3 linked regions of the Arabidopsis thaliana genome follow. The protein of the gene in region 3 interacts with the protein of the main gene of each other region in a pairwise test. Each region holds a gene or a part of one and is shown on either strand. Other genes may lie near its edges.

Region 1 (6,896 bases), on a different chromosome or scaffold from region 3:
GAGTTATAAACCTAAAATCTGCTCTGTTTTCTTCAAAAAAATTGTCTAAATAAAGAAAGGGCCATTATATTTTTTTATTATATAGCTTGGGCCCTGATTGGATCTATCCATATAAGATTAACCAGTTTTATGTGTTTTGTGTAGGAAATGAGTGCTGTGAAAGATTGGCCTACTATGGCATGGGCACTAACCTTGTGAATTATCTTGAGAGCCGTCTGAATCAAGGCAATGCTACGGCTGCAAATAACGTCACGAATTGGTCTGGAACATGTTATATAACTCCTTTGATTGGAGCCTTTATAGCTGATGCTTACCTTGGACGATATTGGACTATTGCAACTTTTGTTTTCATCTATGTCTCCGTGAGTTTTACTTGTTTCTTATCTTTTGGTTAAAAATGTGAATCTTTTGGTTAAAACTAATTAAGTTTGTTTTTTCTCTTGAAGGGTATGACTCTTTTGACATTATCAGCTTCAGTTCCTGGACTTAAACCAGGTAACTGCAATGCTGATACTTGTCATCCAAATTCTAGTCAGACTGCTGTTTTCTTTGTCGCGCTTTATATGATTGCTCTTGGAACTGGCGGTATAAAGCCGTGTGTTTCGTCCTTTGGAGCTGATCAGTTTGATGAGAATGATGAGAATGAGAAGATCAAGAAAAGTTCTTTCTTCAACTGGTTTTACTTCTCCATTAATGTTGGAGCTCTCATTGCTGCAACTGTTCTCGTCTGGATACAAATGAATGTTGGTTGGGGATGGGGTTTCGGTGTTCCAACAGTCGCGATGGTTATCGCGGTTTGCTTTTTCTTCTTCGGAAGCCGTTTTTACAGACTTCAGAGACCTGGAGGGAGTCCACTTACTAGGATCTTTCAGGTTATAGTAGCGGCTTTTCGGAAGATAAGTGTTAAGGTTCCAGAGGACAAGTCTCTGCTCTTTGAAACTGCAGATGATGAGAGTAACATCAAAGGTAGCCGGAAACTTGTGCACACAGATAACTTAAAGTAAGAAACTAAAGTTTGAATCTTTATCCTAACTTCAAAAATACTCTGTTTTCAAATCTAAAGTTTTGAAAACATCTCAGGTTTTTTGACAAGGCAGCGGTTGAGAGTCAATCTGATAGCATCAAAGACGGGGAAGTCAATCCATGGAGACTATGTTCTGTTACTCAAGTTGAAGAACTTAAGTCAATAATCACACTTCTTCCAGTTTGGGCCACAGGAATAGTCTTCGCCACAGTGTACAGCCAAATGAGCACAATGTTTGTGTTACAAGGAAACACAATGGACCAACACATGGGAAAAAACTTTGAAATCCCATCAGCTTCACTCTCACTTTTCGACACTGTCAGTGTACTCTTCTGGACTCCTGTCTATGACCAGTTCATTATCCCGCTGGCAAGAAAGTTCACACGCAATGAACGAGGCTTCACTCAGCTTCAACGTATGGGTATAGGTCTTGTGGTCTCCATCTTTGCCATGATCACTGCAGGAGTCTTGGAGGTTGTCAGGCTTGATTATGTCAAAACTCACAATGCATATGACCAAAAACAGATCCATATGTCGATATTCTGGCAGATACCGCAGTATTTACTTATCGGTTGTGCAGAAGTTTTCACCTTTATAGGTCAGCTTGAGTTTTTCTATGATCAGGCTCCTGATGCCATGAGAAGTCTCTGCTCTGCTTTGTCGTTGACCACGGTTGCGTTGGGGAACTATTTGAGCACAGTTCTTGTGACGGTTGTGATGAAGATAACGAAGAAGAACGGTAAACCGGGTTGGATACCGGATAACTTGAACCGAGGCCATCTTGATTACTTTTTCTACTTGTTGGCAACTCTCAGTTTCCTCAACTTCTTAGTGTACCTCTGGATTTCAAAACGCTACAAATACAAGAAAGCTGTTGGTCGAGCACATTGATCAAGAAACTGGTGTGGAAGATATTTGGAGTTAACAGTATTTGTTTGAAAAGTGTTTTGCTTGTAAATGTTTTTTGTATGTGGTCTAGTTGTTGTTGGTGTGTTAGGTTTGTTTTGGTTTTGCTTATGTATTTCTGAATACTTCCAGTCTTCCACTTATATGTAAAAGGCTATTGGTAACTATTTTATGAGCTTTTTGCTTAAAGCTTTTTGACCGTCTGATAATATGTCCTCCTATATTTTGCCATTGCTCTTAAGAAACTTATTATATACATTGGAAGTTATAAGCAATAAGCTGGGAAATAAAATCAAAAACTAAACAACAGCATGGGAAATCTTAACAAAAAGCAAAGCACATAGGATCCTATTGTCAATACATATGTAAACTTACTACTAGACATTAAACAAAGAGATCAAGTATTTTCTTCTGTTTCTTTGAAGATGTCTTTACTTTTGACTATATATCTGAACTGTTTGGAAAATGCTCAAGATCAGGATGCATAAGGAAGCCCCCTTGGCTTCTTGGAGGTTGTCTAACAAGATTGAGACAAGCAAGCGTCAAAAACAGATTTTGATTCTGGGGTTTATTTGTTCAGTAAAACCCATGGTTTATATATATATAGTCAGAAACAAGCTTTTTATTGAGCTCAACTATATGCACATAGAAAAAGAGAAAGTTTTTTTGTCATTTTACGAATGTGGTGGTGCGATGAAGCCAGGTTTGGTCACTAAATGAGCGGAAGCGGAAATAGCCAGCAGGACTATCTGGAAATGAAACCAAACCTAATCATTTAACAAAGTATAATCAACTCTAGCCTTGCAATTATATGGCTAAGAAGGAAAAATTTAGACCATAATAAGAGTTTAGAACAAACAGGTAGAAGTAGTAGATGTATTACCTTGATGAAAGAATCAGAGGGCGTAAAAGCTTATACAGAATCTCATTCTTTAAATCTGTCACTAACTTATCTAAATTCTTAAACTGTTCACGGACATTGCTGCTAGTGCTCTCAGTAGTATAATTCCTAACTCTGTATTAGTGCTCTCAGACGTGGTTATTACGAAATGCAGGCATAAACCAACCCGATCATACCCATCACATTATCAGAAGTCGCCATCAAAGAGATCACCAGAAATCTTGGGAAGCAAGGAACCTAAGTTGGTCTGTCAATTTTGAGATAATGGGCCTATCTCAAAACAGTATCGGGCTCGTCTGCAAAATAAGAAAAAGGCCTAGAAAGTCGGTTATTACACGTGGCATCCTTTTATTGTATATTTACTTTTCCGTCCCTTACATTTTCTTATTTAAATAATCTGTTAACTTGCTTCTTCTTCTTCTTTCTTCATCTTCATCTTCATCTTCGCTTCACAATCTCTTTGAGACTTTTGCATCGGAGCAATAATAATATATTCATCGCAAAATCAGTGAATTTTGATATTCAAATCTTAATCGGCGATGGAACGAACAAGCAACGGAGGAATGTTGTATCACGAGGTTCAAGAGTCAAATCTGTGCGCCGTACACTGCGTCAACACGGTGTTGCAAGGGCCTTTCTTCTCTGAATTCGATTTGGCTGCCGTCGCCGCCGATCTAGACGGGAAGGAGCGTCAGGTTATGCTTGAAGGTGCTGCCGTTGGAGGTTTTGCTCCCGGCGATTTCTTAGCTGAAGAGTCGCACAATGTTTCCCTCGGCGGCGATTTTAGTATCCAGGTACGAATTCGCGATGAAATTGATAAATCTTGAGTTGCATTCAACATTTATATATTGTAAAGCCTTTTTGTTATTGTGTTGTTGGAAGTTTAGGCAAAATTAGGGTTTCGATTTTATGGTGCTTTTGATTGCTGTGTTTATGCTGAAGTGATAAACTTTTGAATGGTTGGATTCGTTTTTAGATAGATTCAAGAAGAATTGAGATCAGTAATGGTGTGAATTTGCGATCTTTACTTTGGGTTAAAACTCATTTGTTGAAGGCTAGTTTCATTGTGCGAACATTGCTATGCTGATAAATGGAGGAACTTGAGATGATTTTTTTTATCTTGGGACTCAATTGTTTTGGATATGTTAGTTATTAGTGAGGTTCTGTATATTCAATTATCATCTTTTGTTTCTTGGATAGCTTTAAACCGAGTTGGTTGATAACTTGATATTTGATTAGGTTGCTACAAAAGTCAGGTTTGATTGCAAGATTTATGTATTGAGATTCAAGGGTATAGTATGGTGTTTTACATCACATTTTTAGATATCTAAAATTAAAGCTATTTTAACGGATTACGTTGAAGTTGGATGCGGATAAAACACTGCAAACAGAGGGTTTATGCGATTGGTGTAGCATTTTAATCTTGCAAAGTTGATCTAGTCTTTGCTTATTCGTTTAACTGAGAATGCTTCTGTTTGATTGACAGGTCTTGCAAAAAGCTTTGGAAGTGTGGGATCTACAAGTAATTCCACTCAATTGTCCAGATGCAGAGCCTGCGCAGATAGACCCTGAGCTTGAAAGCGCCTTTATCTGCCACTTGCATGACCATTGGTTTTGTATAAGGAAAGTGAATGGCGAATGGTATAACTTTGATAGTCTCCTTGCTGCCCCGCAACATTTATCGAAGTTCTACCTTTCTGCGTTCTTAGACTCTCTCAAAGGCGCAGGATGGAGTATCTTCATAGTGAAAGGAAACTTCCCTCAGGAATGTCCCATGTCGTCTTCTTCTGAAGCTTCCAATAGTTTCGGGCAGTGGCTTTCTCCTGAAGACGCAGAGAGAATAAGAAAGAACACGAGCTCAGGTTCTTCTGCCAGAAACAAGAGAAGTAATGACAATGTTAATCAACAAAGACGGAATCAGGCATTGTCACGTGAGGAAGTGCAGGCTTTTTCAGAGATGGAAGATGATGACTTGAAGGCAGCAATTGCAGCAAGTTTGCTTGATGCTTCTGCTGCTGAGGCCAATCTCGGAGCTGTGGGCACTTCTGAAAAGGAAACTGAGAAACAAAAGTAGCAGAGAAAATAGAGAACAAGTGTTATTGATGGAGGTGGTGGGATATTCACTTTTGTTTCTTTGTTTTGGTTTGTTATCAAGAGTTATCAACAATTTTACATACAGAACAGAGAAAGAAAAAAGCTTACATCGAAAGATAGAAAACAGAGGATAATAAATGGTTTGTGGAATTGTTTTTGTTTGATTTTTTTACCATATTAAATTCTTCTGACAATCTTAAATTGAGGATAAAGATTCGACCTTTTCGAATTCATAGGAAACTACATCTGAAAAGGGTACATAAATTACTTCAGTTGACTAAAAGTAGATGAATGACCAATTTAAATGTGTTCTATGGAAAATATAAAAGGATGGTGTAAAATTTGATTCATCTCTAAGTACAATCTGGCGAACTTTTACAGTTTGAAAAAAACAAGAAGGATAACACTTTTAGGCTGGAAATAAAAACATCGAGAGGACAACAAACACCTTCTTTTTCCCTAAACAGAGCATAGCCTTTGAATTATTAATTAATTATTTGTATATTCAAAGTTGATGGCTTTGATGATGATGGTGATGACCCAACTTTAGTCTCTTCTTCACTTTTTATTTTTACTTTCTTTGTGATACATCAGGTTCCTTCGATTCGAGCCTTTAGGATTTCCTTTCACATAATGATCTGTTTCTGACATTCAGAGAAAGATATACATATCTGGGTTACTTTTGGGATCTGATCATCTGAGGAAATCTGAATCCAAGTTTGCTCTGATCTTTCTTCTCAAATGAGTTCTTCTTCGGACAAGTTGTTCAACAGAGACAGGACAATACATGAGATTCTGGGAGGAGGCATTGGTTAGTGAATACATTTCTTTACCAAATCCAAAACTTATAAAAGCTAGGTGATCTCTCACCTCTATAGCCTTTTTTTTTTCTTGTTATGAAATGAATCTGCAGTTGCAGATGTGATGCTGTGGAGGAAGAAGAATGTGAGTGTTGGTATAGTTACAGTGACAATAGCTTCATGGATGGTGTTTGAGGCATTTGCTTACACTATCTTTACTCTTATTTCAAGTGTTCTTCTTCTCTTGCTCTCTATTCTCTTCCTCTGGTCCAAATCTGCTTCCATTCTCAACAGGTATATTAATATTCACTTGTAACTAATATTACTTCATTTCTGATTCAATTTCTTGGCTCTTCAGGCCATCACCGCCGTTACCGGAGTTTCAAATAAGTGAAGCGATGGCGGAAGAAGCTTCGATATGGTTACGTATTCATGTGAACAAGCTACTCCAAGTTTCGCATGACATTGCAATGGCAAGAGACTCAGAGTTGTATACCAAAGTAGCAGTGTCACTGTTTCTTCTCTCATTGATCGGAAGTCTCATGGATTTTCAGACACTTTGCCACACCAGTAAGTAGATATTCTAAAACTCCTATAGACTTGGAATGCTTTTGAGCTGGATATTCATTTTGTGGTTGTTCTTGGTTAATTTGGCAGGCGTTTTGGTGGTTATGACGGTTCCAGCTTTCTATGAGAGATATGAGGATTACATTGTTGGCTCTATTGAGTTTATCTGCAACAAAACTAGAGAGCTTTACCTTAGACTCGAGATATGGGCTAATCCGGAAAATAAGAAACTGAGCTGAGATGCTGTCACCTCTTTCTTCTTCAGGAGTTTCTTTTTCTGATTTTTCTCGGTTTTGTGGAAAGAAAGGAGAAAAATGTATGATTTTTGATAAATGTTGGATGGTACAGCCAATATATGAGCAATCCACAGAAATTTTATTTCACAGTTTTACTCGAAAACTGAATCTCTATTCCGAAAACAATATTCGACCAAGTTCTGGCCTCTCTCAATCACCGAAAATGAAGAAGAAAACAATGTTGCTCTTATTCCCTCTGCTTAAAACTATGTGTCTCAGTTTCTTTTGGACGCATCGAGTTCCCGGACATACTTCTTTGCCTGGATTAGAGTATTAAGAACCCGGATTAGAAAATGAGAAAGAAGACT
Region 2 (7,560 bases), on a different chromosome or scaffold from region 3:
GATTCATTTCACTCAAAACAATTTTGAACCAACAAAGAATAGATATGTCTATGTAGATGAAGTGAACGTGAATACTGTATTTGGTATTACATGCAACTACGTGACGCATGGCATAGTTTTTTTTTTTTTTTATAATAAAAAGTTAATGGTTCCATTAATCCATTAAGATTTAAATTGCAACTTGCAAAGATAAAATCATAAAATATAAAATATATATTAAAATAATCTTTGCATATAATATTAGTCATGGATCATGTTATGTCAAAGACAGAGCTGGAATCCCACTCGAAGTCACATGCATATGAATCTTTCTCACTTTTATATCCTTACTTTCTTAATAAATTTGTACCAACCCATCATATATATATAAAATTGGACATATAAGTTGAGAAAAATCATGATTTTTAATCTCACTCAATTGGTTAGAGGAGAGTTTTGTTCGGGAAGTAAAAGAGAGTGGTTATGCTTTTTTGAACCATTTACATATATTGTAAACTGTGATCAATCCACATACATCTAACAATGTTACGGCCGAATGCAAAGAACTTTATGATTTTTATTAAATTAAAGCAACAACAAATTTTCGCACTATACACCAATGCTCTACAAACCCAAAGAAAACAAAATGCTCCATTAATTTAAATTGAAATGAGTAGCAATAACATAATTCCAAAGAGAAGAATTGTGTCTTGATCTTCTCCTGATGATATGATGATGATGATTATGATCATTTGTCTTGATGCGTGCTGATGACTTTTTTTTGAGCTTTAGAATCATGAATCAGTTGAACTGGTGGTGGTGGTGGTTGTGGTTTGGGTCAGACCATGCCCAGTAACCAGCCGGCGTCGTTTCATCAATGCCATTAAACATGTTACAAAGGCTTTCTTCTTGAACTATTTCATGATTCTGATGATGATCATCATCATGTGCAGATGATCGAATCGATGAAGGGAATAGGTCTTTGATCGTGTTCACATGTGTTGTAATGGTCTCTCTAGGCATCTCCAGATTGATGTCTGAACTATTCTCTGTGCTTCCGTTGTTGCTCCATGAAGCTTCTGCTTCTCTCTTTACTATGTTTCCTTCATTACATTCTTTGTTCTTTAAAGCCATTACCTTTAACCATCATCACACACAATTCAAATGTTAAGTTTTAGAAATTCAGATATTAAAAATTATCATTTCTATATATCATTAAAATAAACATAATTATATATAATTTAAATTAACAAAATATTTTTAAAATGACTAATAACTTAAAATAGATAAACTGTAAGACTATATATGTAAATTATATATTTACATATACTTAGCTTAAGTAATTTTTGAAAATCTTGTAACTATTACATTTCAATAAGTAGTAAAATCATTTAAAACACACAAAAATGATATGATATAAAAATCAGTATTCTTGTCAAATTTGGTTAGCGCACACATGCCATTACTTGATAGTCATATGGGAATGTATTAATTAAATTGTAAATATTGATCAAGAATCCTTTTTATTAATAAACAAAACACCTACTGTCTTTTGACAAACATCTTATAGTGTTGGATCATGTGCCTAACAATAATCTATTGCATTTCGTATTAAACGACTTTAATACACACAAGATACATACATATATATATATATATACACTGATATATATACACATATATATATACTACATAAATAGTACCAATCCAAGCCAATAATCAGAAAAATATTTGTAGTCCTAGATTTATTTTACGTTGGTTATTACTATTAGTGCAAAACCAAAAATAAAAAAACCAAAGAAAAAAACAAACACAATCAAATTAGAAATGAAAGTTGAATTAAACACCTTATTTACTATATAAACACACATATATACTTACTTATATAGATACATACCTCAGCAAGGAGTTTCTTGTTATAGGCAAGTAGAGAAGCATTGTCGGATTTAAGAGACTCAAACTGTTTCTTGAGTGAATCATAATCTCTCTCGAGCTGTCTAGTCTTCCACCTAGCTCTCCTGTTTTGAAACCAAATCGCGATCTGTCTTGGTTGCATCCCTAATGCTTTAGCTAGTTGTATCTTCCTCTCTGGCTCCAGCTTGTTACCAAGCTCAAAGCTCTTCTCTAATGCCTTAACTTGCTCTAATTGCAGCCTCTTCTTCTTCTCTCCCAGCATAGTATGTGCCCCATCGTCTGATAGATTCTCCTCATCCAAGGTTTGATTATGATCTTCTTGCACGTTCATTAAAGACATAGATCTGTTCATCATGTAGTTTCCTCCTCCTATATACACCAACAGAATTCATGACTCAAATCTATTTATGTGGAGAAATAGTGAGAGAAAGAGAGAGTATAGTACCATTGAAGAGATGAGGAGGACAAGAAGGGAGCTGATCTTGACTGTTGTCTTCATGAAGTTGTTGGAACATAAAACCATGTTGAGGAAACGCCATCTCTAATCTCAATCCAGCTTCTGTTGTTGGATCAAACACATACATGTATGTATTCCACCAAAAACCTATCAGTGATTAATGGATTGTGAAATCAGTATAGTGATGATCAAATATACTTTGTTGTTTGCAGATTTGGAAATCACTATCAAATGAGTTAGGTGTTTCTTGTGGATCTCATCAACCTCTCATATAAGAGAAAGAGAGAGAAAGAATGAGGAAAGGATCAAGCTAGGGAGGTTTCTAGGACCCATCCTTAATATTTTAAAAGCTTTAGGCTTATTATTATATTTCATATATATTCTCCAGTTCATGTAATAAAGTTATTTTATAGTTTCTGCCTCAAATATTTTCGATCATGTAACGTTACTAATCATATCTTCATGATGGTTTTTTTTTTCTTTTTCTTTTCACAACACCTTTTATGCTTTAAAACCTCACATATCATTTATTTATGTTTTCCAAGGAAGCCCAAAGACTTTTTACATCAATTGCTTCCTCCTCCACCGATATGGGCCGCTGCTTTTGCAGCCCGGCCCAAAGCATCTGAGAACCATAAAGCCCCATTAGCAAAGTAACGACTGTTGACCACACTAGTCGCTGCAGCTGCAGCCACTTTCCCTGTAATGGTGGCTGCGGCTACAGCAGCTGTGCCCGTGACAAGAACCGCGGATTTAGTGAAATCCGAGAAATGATACTTCTCGTCCGCTGATCTCACGAGTTCCATACTCGACTGAATGTTCTGTGTGAGGCCAAGGTAATGGCTGATCTCTGCCAATTTGGTCGCTACCAAGCTTGAAAATCTCTGAGACTCATCCAAAGCTTTGGCTTTACCAATCGCGTCTTTGCTTAAAACGTAGCCTTTAGCTAACATCGTCTGCACAACTTGTTGAGCCACGGTTATGGCCTCTCCAGGCGATGAAGCAAACGCGTCTGAACGAGTCACCTACAAAGAAACATTTTCGAGAATCTTTGGCTTATAACCTAAAGTAACCTAGTAAGTATTGTTTTTAATGTTACCGTAACACTATAGTCTTCTTCTTGTCTGAGATTGTTAGATTCATGTAAATAGACACCGTAGACCGATATCCAAACGGTTTGATCAACGATCGTAGCTCCCTGAAGATCAACATTAAAATCAATGCCAAGAAGATCATACTGGAAATTTCTAGCTAATTAAGGGACTTACGCTAAGTAACACAGCCATATCCAGAGCATACGCATCTCTGAAGGTTACATAAGCCGTTAATGCATCCCCTTGGCACCTGAAATCCATGGAGACATGAAACAAAATATAAACAGATTCAAGAATGATTAATAATTTACTGAACAATGAACGTTGTTGTTACCCGGTGATTTCAACGAGCTCGACGATACCACAGTGAGAGAAGAACCTATGAACATCTTTCTCAGTGGCTTGAGGAGACAAGTTGGTGACTTGAGCAACGTAACCACAAGGATACATTATATTGTTCTGTTTTCTCACACGAACCTAGATACCTAAATCAAAGAACAAACATAAACAAGATTCTTGAATCACATTCCGTGAACCGTTGAGCGATTTTCTAGAGATTTATACAGCAAGAAATCTACAAAGCTACGATTACTATAATGATTCAAATAAAAAAAATAAAAAAGGTGTCCAGGCCAAATAGTTAGCGGAGAGGGAAGAAAGAAGAAGTAAGAACCCTAGATTATAATTGAATGAGATAAGAGATGAAAGTAACAGTAACAAAGATAATCAATGAGATATGTATCAACCAACCACACAATCGGAAACTTCGAGAAGCAGGGCACGAAAAAAAACTGATAGTGTATGTTCTGTTTTAGATTACCCGATTAAGGCACAATAGAACAGGACGTCACAGGATTGAAGCCAAGTATCGAAAGAGACGGAGAGAAAAGAAGACAAGATTCGTGTGATTGTGAGAGAGAAAGAGGATTCTTCAAATTTAAACAAAAAAAGAAAGAAGAGGAATGTTAACATTTAAACCAAAAAAGAAAGAAGAGGAATGTTCACATAATTTTTTTTCTTTTGTCGGCTCGATCGATATCGATGTTGTGGTCGACGATACGCGTCAAACGTAAGCTCTAGCGATGCGCGTGTTATTATTGTTTCCACGAGTCTTTTGGGCACTTTTTACTTAGGCTTTTTAAAGCCCAAATATCTGTTTTCAAGCCCAAGTAATTAGTGAGGACATTTTCGTCAATTTTTCATCGGAACGCAATTTAGCGGTTAACGCCTTAACCGTCGCTCAGAAAAAAAAAAAAAAAAAAGTTATCATAAACTTTGGCGATATGAATTTACACGGCGTCTCGGGCCATCACGAGCCTAATTCCGAACCTCCAATTCCGACAGGTTCGTCGAGTCCGAAGCTGAAGATTAGTCCCAAATTGAATCGGTGGTCTAGGGGCCGAGCTTTAAGATCTGGTGTTAAGCTTGACCGTCCAATTCCCCGTTCCGATAACTCACCTCGCCGTCAAGTAACGGAAGCCCAACCGACCGATGAGGCTGATAAGAAGACGACGGCGATCGACGTGGAGGTAACGGCGGGAAAGTCTATATATTTGGTTTCCGACGGAACTGGGTGGACGGCAGAGCATTCCGTTAACGCCGCTTTGGGACAATTCGAAGATTTTTCGTTGAATCGTGGCTCTTCTGTGAATACCCATCTCTTCTCCTGGGTAAATGAAAATCAAATCTTCTTACTTTCAGGAAAAAATATGTCCTTTCTTAGAATTCTCTGTGAATGTTGCTAGTAGAATTGCTCATAGGATAGATAAAATTGGATCATTACATGGAAACTGATTATATCTTAGTGAATGCTAGTTGCAATTAGTGATCATCTGAGCAAGAAAAAACTTGACTTTTAAACCGAAAGTGTTAGGTTTTGAGAATTGTCATTACTTTGGTTTTGGGTTGGGGATTGATCAGGTTGAGGATGAGGAGAGGCTTATCGAGATTATTAAGCAAGCGGCAAAGGAAGGGGCAATGTGTTTCTACACTTTAGCAAATCCTTCTATGGCAAAATCCGCAAAGCAAGCTTGTGATCAGTTGGGTGTGCTTTCGGTTGATATTCTAGGACCAATCATCGAAGGGATTGCGTCTCACTTAGGTGTTTCTCCGTCAGGTCTTACACGTGGAGCACCTGGTAGGGTCAAGACTCTCAATGATGCATATTTCAAAAGGATTGAAGCCATTGAGTTTACCATTAAGCAAGATGATGGGACTTTACCTGAGAACTTAAGCAAGGCTGATATAGTTCTTGTCGGGGTTTCCCGGACAGGGAAGACGCCCTTGTCCACTTACATTGCTCAAAAAGGGTACAAAGTTGCTAATGTGCCGTTTGTGATGGGCGTGGAACCACCCAGGACGCTCTTTCAGGTTGAACCGAGAAAAGTTTTTGGTTTGAAGATCCAGCTCGTTGTACTGCAAGCGATTAGAAGAACAAGGGTTAAAACGCTAGGCGTAGATACAGAGGCAGAGAACAATTACTCGGGGATTGATCTTGTTCGGAAAGAACTAGATTTCGCGTCAAGGATCTATGAGCGAAACCCCGGATGGGCAGTGATAGGTAAACAAAACTTAAACACCATTCTCATTTGCTACTCAAAATGCTGTTTTTTTCTTTCCTTTTAATGCTAGTAAGAAAAAAAGTTAACAAGTAGGCAGAGTATTCTCATGTGTTATTCTTGGGGTTGTGGCGCTTGCAGATGTGACGAATAAGGCGATTGAAGAAACCGCGGCTGTGATTCTGCGGCTGTACCATGACGGTAGAGACACTAGTACTACGGTACCGCGTATCTCAAAACGCTACTAAGCACACTCCTTTGACCGTAGAGAGGATGAAACACCAGTGTCGATAAAGTATCAAGTGAATAAAGTAATATATGTCTATAATAATAAGTTGAATAACAAATCCAACCGAGGCATGATGAATCATATGTTTTAGTCAACGAATGTAAGAGGATGAAGGATAACGAAAACTAATAATTGTGGCTACTCTGAATTCTTTTATTACTAGTCTATAAAACAAAAGAATATCTGTCATTAGCATTTAGTTGCAACGTTGCAATTTGGGTGTGTTTAGCAAGTTCAAGAAAAGTCATCCAAAACTTAATGTCATTTTAGTTAATCTATTTTGACTCTTTCTATTCGTTTATGAATGAATATTTCGGTAATTACCAAAAAATCTTCTGATTATCCAAAGTAGATGATCAGAGATTTGTGTCCATCTTCGATTTATATAACTAATTAGTGATATTTTCTTCCTGTAAGTAAACGATGAACCTGGAAACATGCAAGGTTTTTTCGACTGTCAATTTATGTGGATGATTATTGCTATTCAATCTGTTCATCCACATGATTAATAAGATGCTAATTGGTAACACATGGCGTAGTTTAGAAAAGGTTAAAACGTTGCGGTCAAATGATTGACGTAATTGGAAGAACATGCACGAAACATTACAGGAAACCTATAATGCATGGATGCATGTGGGATCAAATAATTGTTATCGATAACGTCCAAGTATCAATTGATATGCATATATGTAGATATTTTAATCTACTTGATAAGATAAAAACTTAATTTTAATTTAAGTTATTCTTCCAACTGTTGTTGGCAAAGTATTGTCCCACTCTATAAGGCAAGTAATACAAAATACATTGTTTTAACTATATCCGAACTCTATATGTCTTTTTCTTGTTAAGTAGAGGAACTAGAGGTGTCTTAGTGACGTGAGACACACGAAATTTTCAATTCTTAAAACCCCATTTGTATTTAATTTGGGCTTAAAGAAATTTAGGCAGCCATTTTTTTTGGTGGTAGCAATATACACCATGCATAAGACAACATCGACACAAATATTATATACACATATATATAGTACGACTTGTATCAATTTGCCTCTTCTTATTTCTACAAACAATGATTGGTCTTAAGAACAACAAAAATACAACAAGCATTCCACCGCAGACCAATGATAGTCAACTACATTTTGATGTTAATTAATCTCAATCTTCTAACCACAAACTCTTATAATATTGCAAGTTAGTTTAAACTACTTACATAATTGAGTATAAAATAGCTTCAACCTTCATCAACAATTCATTATCAATCGAGCAAAAAAC
Region 3 (8,021 bases):
GGTTTATGTTTTTGGCGGGAAAATCACGGGTTTACGTTTTTGACGGGAAAATCACGGGTTTTCGTTTTTTGGTGGGAAAATTACGAGTTTACGTTTTTGGCGGGAAAATTACGGATTTACGTTTTTGGCGGGAAAATCACGGGTTTATGTTTTTGGCGGGAAATTCACGGGTTTACGTTTTTGACGGGAAAATCACGGGTTTACGTTTTTGGTGGGAAAATCACGGATTTATGTTTTTGGCGGGAAAATCACGGGTTTACGTTTTTGACGGGAAAATCACGGGTTTTCGTTTTTTGGTGGGAAAATTACGAGTTTACGTTTTTGGCGGGAAAATTACGGATTTACGTTTTTGGCGGGAAAATCACGGGTTTATGTTTTTGGCGGGAAATTCACGGGTTTACGTTTTTGACGGGAAAATCACGAGTTTACGTTTTTGGTGGGAAAATCACGGGTTTACGTTTTTGGCGGAAAAATCACGAGTTTATATTTTTTGGTGGAAAAATCACGGGTTTATGTTTTTTGGTGGAAAATTTACGAGTTTACTTTTTCTCAATTTCATCGCTTGTATGTTTAAGAAATTTGGAAAAATATTAATTTTATTAAATTGGTTTAGATGTGTTAGTTAAACTTAAATTGGCATTGGTTTAGAGATTTTAGTTGGTTTAATTCAATTTTACAAAACTTGATGGGTTAATTGGGTAAACCATTGAAACCATTAACCATTACAACCTAACTTATTTTATTCATCAAACCAATTGACTCATCAAATCATTTGACTCATCAACTCATTTGAGTCAAAATTTTCAACTCATTACGGTTTATGGGTTGAGTTGAATTGAGTTGACCAATGAATTTTGACCCATTTTGATACCCCTAATTGTAGTATAGCATTATAAACTATGGCGAATATAAAACTCAGGATACATGTTATAGTAGTATATCACACAATATCAGTAAGATTATAAATACATGCATATTCACACAATTAAAAGTATATATATATATATATATATTAAAAATAAAATCAAAAGAAGTCTAGACTAATATATTAATAACAACTTACGCTTTTTTACAAATTTTCATTTAGTTTTGAGTTGAAAGCATATGCTCACACTAAATCATTGAAAGGAAAAAATTATTTTGAAAAAACATTATGATAAAGTTGATGTTGTTGTTAGCCTATAGAGAGCTTAAATTCTTACTTTTTTATATCGTCACCTTGATTGCATTGACTAGTTGAGAAGAGATGTCACATGTGGAGCAGCATGATGGGTCAGAAATGTAGACAATAAAAATTTCTGAATCAAAGTGTCATTTTGTTCTTTACCAAATATCAGTTCTCTATTTTTAAAAATATTATTAAAAAAACAAAATTATCCCAAACATGAAGAAAAGTAGAGGAGTCAATTTTGTTTTAGTGGACCTTCAATTTTCTGTGTTTGGTAATATATTTTTTTGTCATTTCCTTTTTTTTTTTTTTACGTAAAAAGAAACACAGAGATGACAATAAATTGGACATCAAAAAGGAAAACAATTGAGACAAACACATAAAATGAACACAAACTTTTAAAATTGAAACTCATTGATTGGTAGTTTGGTACCAATTGATACCAAAAGATTTTGTTATACCCATCAAAAACAAAATTTCATGAGATTAAATCAATGTTAATATTTATAATTGCGTGGGCTTAAACATAGTTATGGTTTTGATTGTATAGAACGAAATTGTACCAATTGATCTAAAGTTAACCTCAACTCGGCTTGAATTTAAATACATTTTAGAAATTCATTCGGTTCTGGCTAAATACCCAAGTTTCATGTTCGGAAAAAGAAAATAAACACAGAAATGTAAATAAGTCAGGATGATAGGCAAATACCTGCAGCATTAATTTTGTACAGACGTGTCCAAGTTTCATGTTCAGACGTGTCCCTAATGACGACATACTGTCTATTTTTCACACTTTCAATCACGTGCACCATTAATGAGTCCTTGATTCGTAGTGATGATTACGTTGATAAAATCCAAAAAGCTTTCAAAGAAATGTTTAACACTTTACTTAAAAAATTAAAAGTAACAGATTTTTTTTTTAACATTTTTTTTTCAATAGATCATATACATATTTAAATATTCCATAAGCATTTTAAATGTTTATCTATCTTCTATAATCGTGATCTTGCATTAAAAATAGACTTATTTTTATTAGGACATACAACTGTAATAAGAATTTTCAATGAAATATTGGAAAATATTTTTATTTTTATTAAATATTTTGGCGTAAAAATATTTTTATTTTGATTAAATATTTCCCAGTATTTTATTGAAAATTCTTATTACAATTGTATGTCCTAACTGAACCCCACATGTTAAACGACGATCTCTCTCTTTTTTAATTTTTTTTCCTTTGAAAAAAAAAAAGCTATACGACGACTTGCTCTTTAGGGAACCATTTTCTCTTTGTCAAAAAATGGTCCACGTTAATATTCATTGTTGCAACTTGCAACTTTAAAACATATCTTAGCATATGCTAACAACATGCATGCACTCACACAGTCACACTATATTAAGTCAAAAGAGATGATCAAGTATGTGACTACTCTCGTACATGACAGCGTCGTACGAAGTCATCTCGTACATATCCATTGCATCAATCTCCATTAAACGCCTAACTTCCTCCTCGCCCCAAATCTGAATATCTTCTCCTTCACTACCGTCAATCTTCTGACCCATCATTGAATCTCTTTCTTCTTCTTCTTCTTCTTTTTCTTCTTCCTCTTTTGCTTGATCACTGCTTTCGATTATTGAATTCGACAAGATGTACTTGATCCTATCGAGACTATGTTGTCTAGATGAGATACCTGCGGCGAGTTTGTTAAGAAGACGAGACGAGCCGGAGGAAGGAGAGCTTTCCGTCGTCGACGGGGACGTCGTGGTGGAAGAGTTACCACAATCTGCGTTAGTGGTATTGACGGTGAGGTGTTTGATGATGGGCTCGTGGGTCATAGGGTCGATTCCCTTTCTCGAAAGTCTTTTCTTGAGACAAGAGTTCCAATGGTTCTTGATATCATTGTCTGTTCGATTCTGCATCTTCTTCGCCATGGCTGCCCACCTTTATTTTTTCAAGAATAACAAGATTTAGTATGTCCTTTATCAAAAAAAAAAAAAAAAAAGATAAATTAATATTGTTTCCGAAGATCCCAAATAAAAAAATTCAAATTAATCTCCAAACTTTGTGGAAAGATCACTTAACATATAAATTAACGTCAGAGTGGTTAATCATTACTGAAGTATATATGTGGACTCTCTACCAAAGTATATAATGTTACATATATATAACTTGATAATTAACCTGTTTCCGAGAACAGCATGAAGTTGGATGATTTCTTCTTCTTCTTGAGGAGTGAATTTGCCTCTTCTAATCCCAGGCTTTAGATAGTTAAGCCACCTTAATCTGCAGCTCTTTCCACATCTCTGCAAACCTGTTTTTCATAATAAATTATTCGAAGAAATAATTGTGCTTTTGTAGTGGCAAACAAAAGAATCTGCCAAGAATTAAACTTTTTATTAACACTGGAGGATTTGAAAGCAAGGAAGTTGTAAAAGCTTCAACTTTTCGAGATTGGGTCTTAAAAAAACAAGGAATTTTCCAACCACTATGTATATGGACAAAGCACAGGGAACACCTGTCGCTCTTGAGCACCGTTAAAAGATGGAAATCATTTTTTATAGTATCATATGGATATAATTGGTATGAGTTTCTTTTTTTGTGAAAGAATTGGTATGAGTTTCTACTAAATAGAAATAAGCATCTACAAAAATTATAATCAATCATGGACTAAAAAGTATTATAAAACATGGGTGTATGTGTAAGTACGTACTTTCAATATTCATTCTTGATTTGGTTGCAAAAATCATTATAAGAAAAAAAAATCATCAGTGATTTTGAATTCAAAGAACATGGATTATACTATTCACTTCAGCATGTAGAAGAGAATCTCTACATATGTAACAAATTTCCAATCCCGAAAATTTCGGTGTGTATATTAATATACCCACTTATGATTTAACTCATAGTCCTCTAATAATACAAATGAGAACTTTCAGCAACAAATAGGGGAAAGAAAGTACAAAGAAAGTATCTTCAATATTGTCTTAATCATTTTAAAACATTTTAAAGATATATATACGAACCAAAAACAATGTTAAATATTCTATATACTTAACACATGCTTTTTAGATGTTCTTAATCCAACTATGTTGCTACATACCTACGTGCAATATATTAATAGGCAGCAATTCGAATTTATACTTTCTGTAAACTCGTTGTTCCCAAATTAGTTTATTAAGAAAACAAAAAAAAAAGTGAGAAGAAGAAAATATGTTGTAACACAGTTTTGCAAAAACACAACATATAGATGCATACACTTCTCTATATGTTTATGGAATATAAATATAAATATCCCAAGTGTTTTGCTACATATATACACGCATATTTTCATAGGGCAGCAACTAGAATTTATCTAGACTTCAACAAATCCCTTGTTCCAAATACATATCTAATGAAAAAGAGTAGAAGAAGACACAATTTCATATGAGCACAAACTAAAATGCACTTTTATGAATGACATGTTTATATTATACCAGCTCTTTTGGGGAGGGAACGCCAATCACAAACGCCATGCTCGTTGATGTAAGCGCCGAGCTTCTGGTCTTCCTCTGCCGTCCACTCTCCTTTCTTCATCCCGTCGACGTCGAACCATGTCGTCCTCCCCATTTTCTCCAGCCAACCAAACTAAAAAACCAATCTAATATTGCCACGTTTCACCACCTCACGAGAAGACAAATTTTAAACAAGTTCAATTATTTATTTGAAAGTGTGTCTCTCTCTCCAGAAAAAAAAGTGAGTCTCTCTCTACACGTTTTACTCTGTAGGATGCTCTCGAGAGAATGAGTAGTGGGATGCGTTATTCTAATTAGGGTTATACAATTATATAGCCCCCCCCTGTTTTGGTATTATTATATTTCCGCCGTTGGATTTTACTTCGAATTCCTGCCGTTAGATATCGAAAGTTTTATCGAGCACAAATTTCTACTATTAGTCTATTACCATACCAAATACCCAAATCTTGCCAAAATTTATGTGTAAAGAGGTAAAAGAAGAAAAGAAAAGATAGTATCTATTACTTTTTTTGTTTCGTATTAGTTATACTCGTGAAAAAACTTTAAACGACAATTAATTTTAAATGGAAGGTGTACTATCTAACACTTAAAAACTTTTCGTAAATTATTACCCCAGTATTTATTTATTTTTTACCTATCAAAATATCAAAATCTAATAAGAACATATATAAACAAAATGGTGAATTGGTGATTATATATTTTTTGTACGTAACCATGAAATTTTTGATAAATTTGTTTTAATAAATTTCATATTTATCAATATATATTAATTTTTATAGAACATTTATTAACAAAATTTTAAAATTAACCACAAATTATTATTATTATATCGTATATATAATTCGTTAGTCACTTAGCTTTAACGTGATATAATACAATAAAATGTAAGTTTAGCCACGTATAAAATTTTAATACTATATTTTTATTTTATATTCGTAGACAATCTAGAAACAAAAAGGGGTTAGAGCTAAAGTAAGATGATCTTGTTATAAAAAATGGTAAATGATACTATTATTTATTCATATATTCCCGCACATGTGTGGATACTGAATAGTGTTAGTACGTTGAACGTTTTCTTCTTTCTCTTCCTGGCTATTAATAAAAGTATGATAGTCTCACACCTCTTTTTTTGATAAACGTATATGATAATCTTACTTTATACTATTAATTAGTGACGATACTAGATAATTTTTTGGAACGGTTAATTAGTAGAAGAGCATGTGGATGTGGTAATCATTATTTTTGGGGCGACGTGGCACTACAGATTGCAGATGATAGTATGATACCATTACACTAGGTCAATGTAAATAAATGGAAAAACAGTAAATAAACCTACCAGTGTTCACATTAATCATTCCTCACATATTTTGGACTTTTTGAATGTTATAGTTAGAAGTTAGAAATTAATATAGAAAAAAGGATGGTCCGTTGACTGCGTAAGACCTGTGATTCGAATTCCTCACATATTTCTTGGTCGAATGATTCGAATTCCATCTGTGATCTGTGTGAAATCTTTTTGCTCTCTCATCCTTTTCATATTTCCTCATTCACACACTCATGCGCCTACTCAGAGGCGTGATGTGCAATTGTGCATGATTGTTGATGCCAAACTTATCATTGATGTGGGATACCCTCTTCTTTAGTGAATTAAAGTCGTTAGTTCACATATCATTTCATGGTAGACATTTTCATATTAACGAGAAATAATCCCAACAATCATTCACTTTTTCTTGTTTTTAATTTCTTTTTGTATGATTAAATATGTAATTCTCTTTTTCTTTTCAGTATATATATATATATATATATATATATGATTCTCGTTTTTGTACTTTTTGTAAATGCTTTTTTTTGTGTATTTGTTTCTCATTATCAAAGTCATCTATCAATCTCTTTCGGACAAAGATTATCACTTCTGAAAGTTTTTTTTTTTTTTTTTTTTTAAGTAGTTGTTTTCTTCTTCTACAATAGCTACAAACAAATCAAGAAAAATGTGATAGAGGGGTCTCATCACAATTGATAATATAAAAAACTATATTTAATTTTTCGACCACATGGAGATTAAATATAATAAGATTTGGTTTAATTTGTTAGTAAATAGTTGTGCCAAACAAAACAAATAGACAATCAAATATAATGATTATGGTTTTGATTAGTTACATATATAAACTAGTAGTGGTAATGATTGTAAGGCCTTGTATGTAACCAATCATAGGAATTATACAAAAGTGTGCAAATAGAAGCATTGCATAGTTTATATTAAAAGAGTAGTACAAATACCTAATATTGGGTTGTACAAAGTGAAGTGGCTATACAAAGGTGGTGAAGTGGAGCTAGATTTTTTTTTCCCAAATTATTGATACTTACTCTATATCAAAATTTTTGATAAATTTTTATTTCTTTAAACTGTCCTACTTTTATCTAGTAGCATTTTTATTTGTATTGCTATCTTTCGAATTGCTTCTATCAAAATTTTGTACTTGTATTTATATTGTTTTTGACATGTGCTCAGCATCTGTATAGAACCATACAATTACTATACAAGCCAACATGTCACCATAATATATAAGTGTGAAAACTTCGCCTCAAATATTTTAAAATGTAAAAGGAAAGAAAAATATTTTAAAGTATGCGACTTTTACCGAATTTAAGCACGTGTCAATAATTGGTATAGTTAAATAAAAAAAAAACAAATTCGTGGATTTATACATAGCGTACGTGTAAATCAGTGAGAAGTTTTCTTTGGGGGAAACAAAAAAACAGTGAGAAGTGAGAACAATGATTAACGCGGCTCAACTATATTAAGTGTGAAACCGAAACAAATTATAAATGATTGTATCTTACATATCCTTTAATATATATTCTACATGATAAATGAAGTTTGATACTTTATTTTTGCATCCATGGAAGTATATCCGAACTATTAATTTGATCTCCGGTTTATATATATATATATATATATATATATATATATTTATTTATTTTTAATCAATTCGGTCGACAAAAATTTGATCAATAACCCAATTCTTATTACGAGTAGGTAGAATATTGACGAAAATAAAAGTTTTTTTGAAAGTATCACATATGAGTTTTTTGTATATATAATAAACAAAAGTCACATGAAGACTTTAATTTGTAGAAGTCCCAAAACATTTGAGATATGATCCTGAGGATCTCCAATAATTGTCTTAATCTTGTAAATCTGTGGCTGAAATTGAAAAACAAAAACAAAATAAAAGATGAAAAAAAACAAGATAAGGTTGATGTTGTTGCGAGTCTTTCTTGGGATGTCTTATGGTTGTCCCATGTGGAGCAACATGATAGGCCTGAAATATAGAGATTTTAA

Evidence for each region.
Region 1: the proteins of MYB47 (region 3) and AT3G54130 interact in a two-hybrid assay, tested with the Arabidopsis thaliana proteins (one large-scale study listed by BioGRID).
Region 2: the proteins of MYB47 (region 3) and HB20 interact in a two-hybrid assay, tested with the Arabidopsis thaliana proteins (one large-scale study listed by BioGRID).

The regions. Positions count from the first base shown.
Region 1 is NC_003074.8:20,040,904-20,047,799, reverse strand, and holds AT3G54130 (Josephin family protein), read left to right. Parts: upstream 1-3,219; 5' UTR 3,220-3,370; coding exon 3,371-3,625; intron 3,626-4,317; coding exon 4,318-4,905; 3' UTR 4,906-5,159; downstream 5,160-6,896. Other genes in the region: PTR1 (peptide transporter 1), read left to right, coding at 145-362, 447-1,000, 1,081-1,915; AT3G54120 (Reticulon family protein), read left to right, coding at 5,667-5,736, 5,839-6,019, 6,084-6,295, 6,383-6,531; PUMP1 (plant uncoupling mitochondrial protein 1), read right to left, coding at 6,804-6,848. UniProt on the Arabidopsis thaliana protein: Interacts with key regulators of transcription and represses transcription. Acts as a histone-binding protein that regulates transcription. Acts as a deubiquitinating enzyme.
Region 2 is NC_003074.8:68,516-76,075, reverse strand, and holds HB20 (homeobox protein 20), read right to left. Parts: upstream 2,770-7,560; 5' UTR 2,478-2,769; coding exon 2,339-2,477; intron 2,263-2,338; coding exon 1,877-2,262; intron 1,117-1,876; coding exon 781-1,116; 3' UTR 537-780; downstream 1-536. Other genes in the region: AT3G01210 (RNA-binding (RRM/RBD/RNP motifs) family protein), read right to left, coding at 2,917-3,375, 3,450-3,548, 3,619-3,694, 3,779-3,894; RP2 (PPDK regulatory protein 2), read left to right, coding at 4,728-5,114, 5,365-6,004, 6,144-6,250. UniProt on the Arabidopsis thaliana protein: Probable transcription factor.
Region 3 is NC_003070.9:6,447,532-6,455,552, reverse strand, and holds MYB47 (myb domain protein 47), read right to left. Parts: upstream 4,969-8,021; 5' UTR 4,773-4,968; coding exon 4,640-4,772; intron 3,478-4,639; coding exon 3,348-3,477; intron 3,108-3,347; coding exon 2,567-3,107; 3' UTR 2,290-2,566; downstream 1-2,289.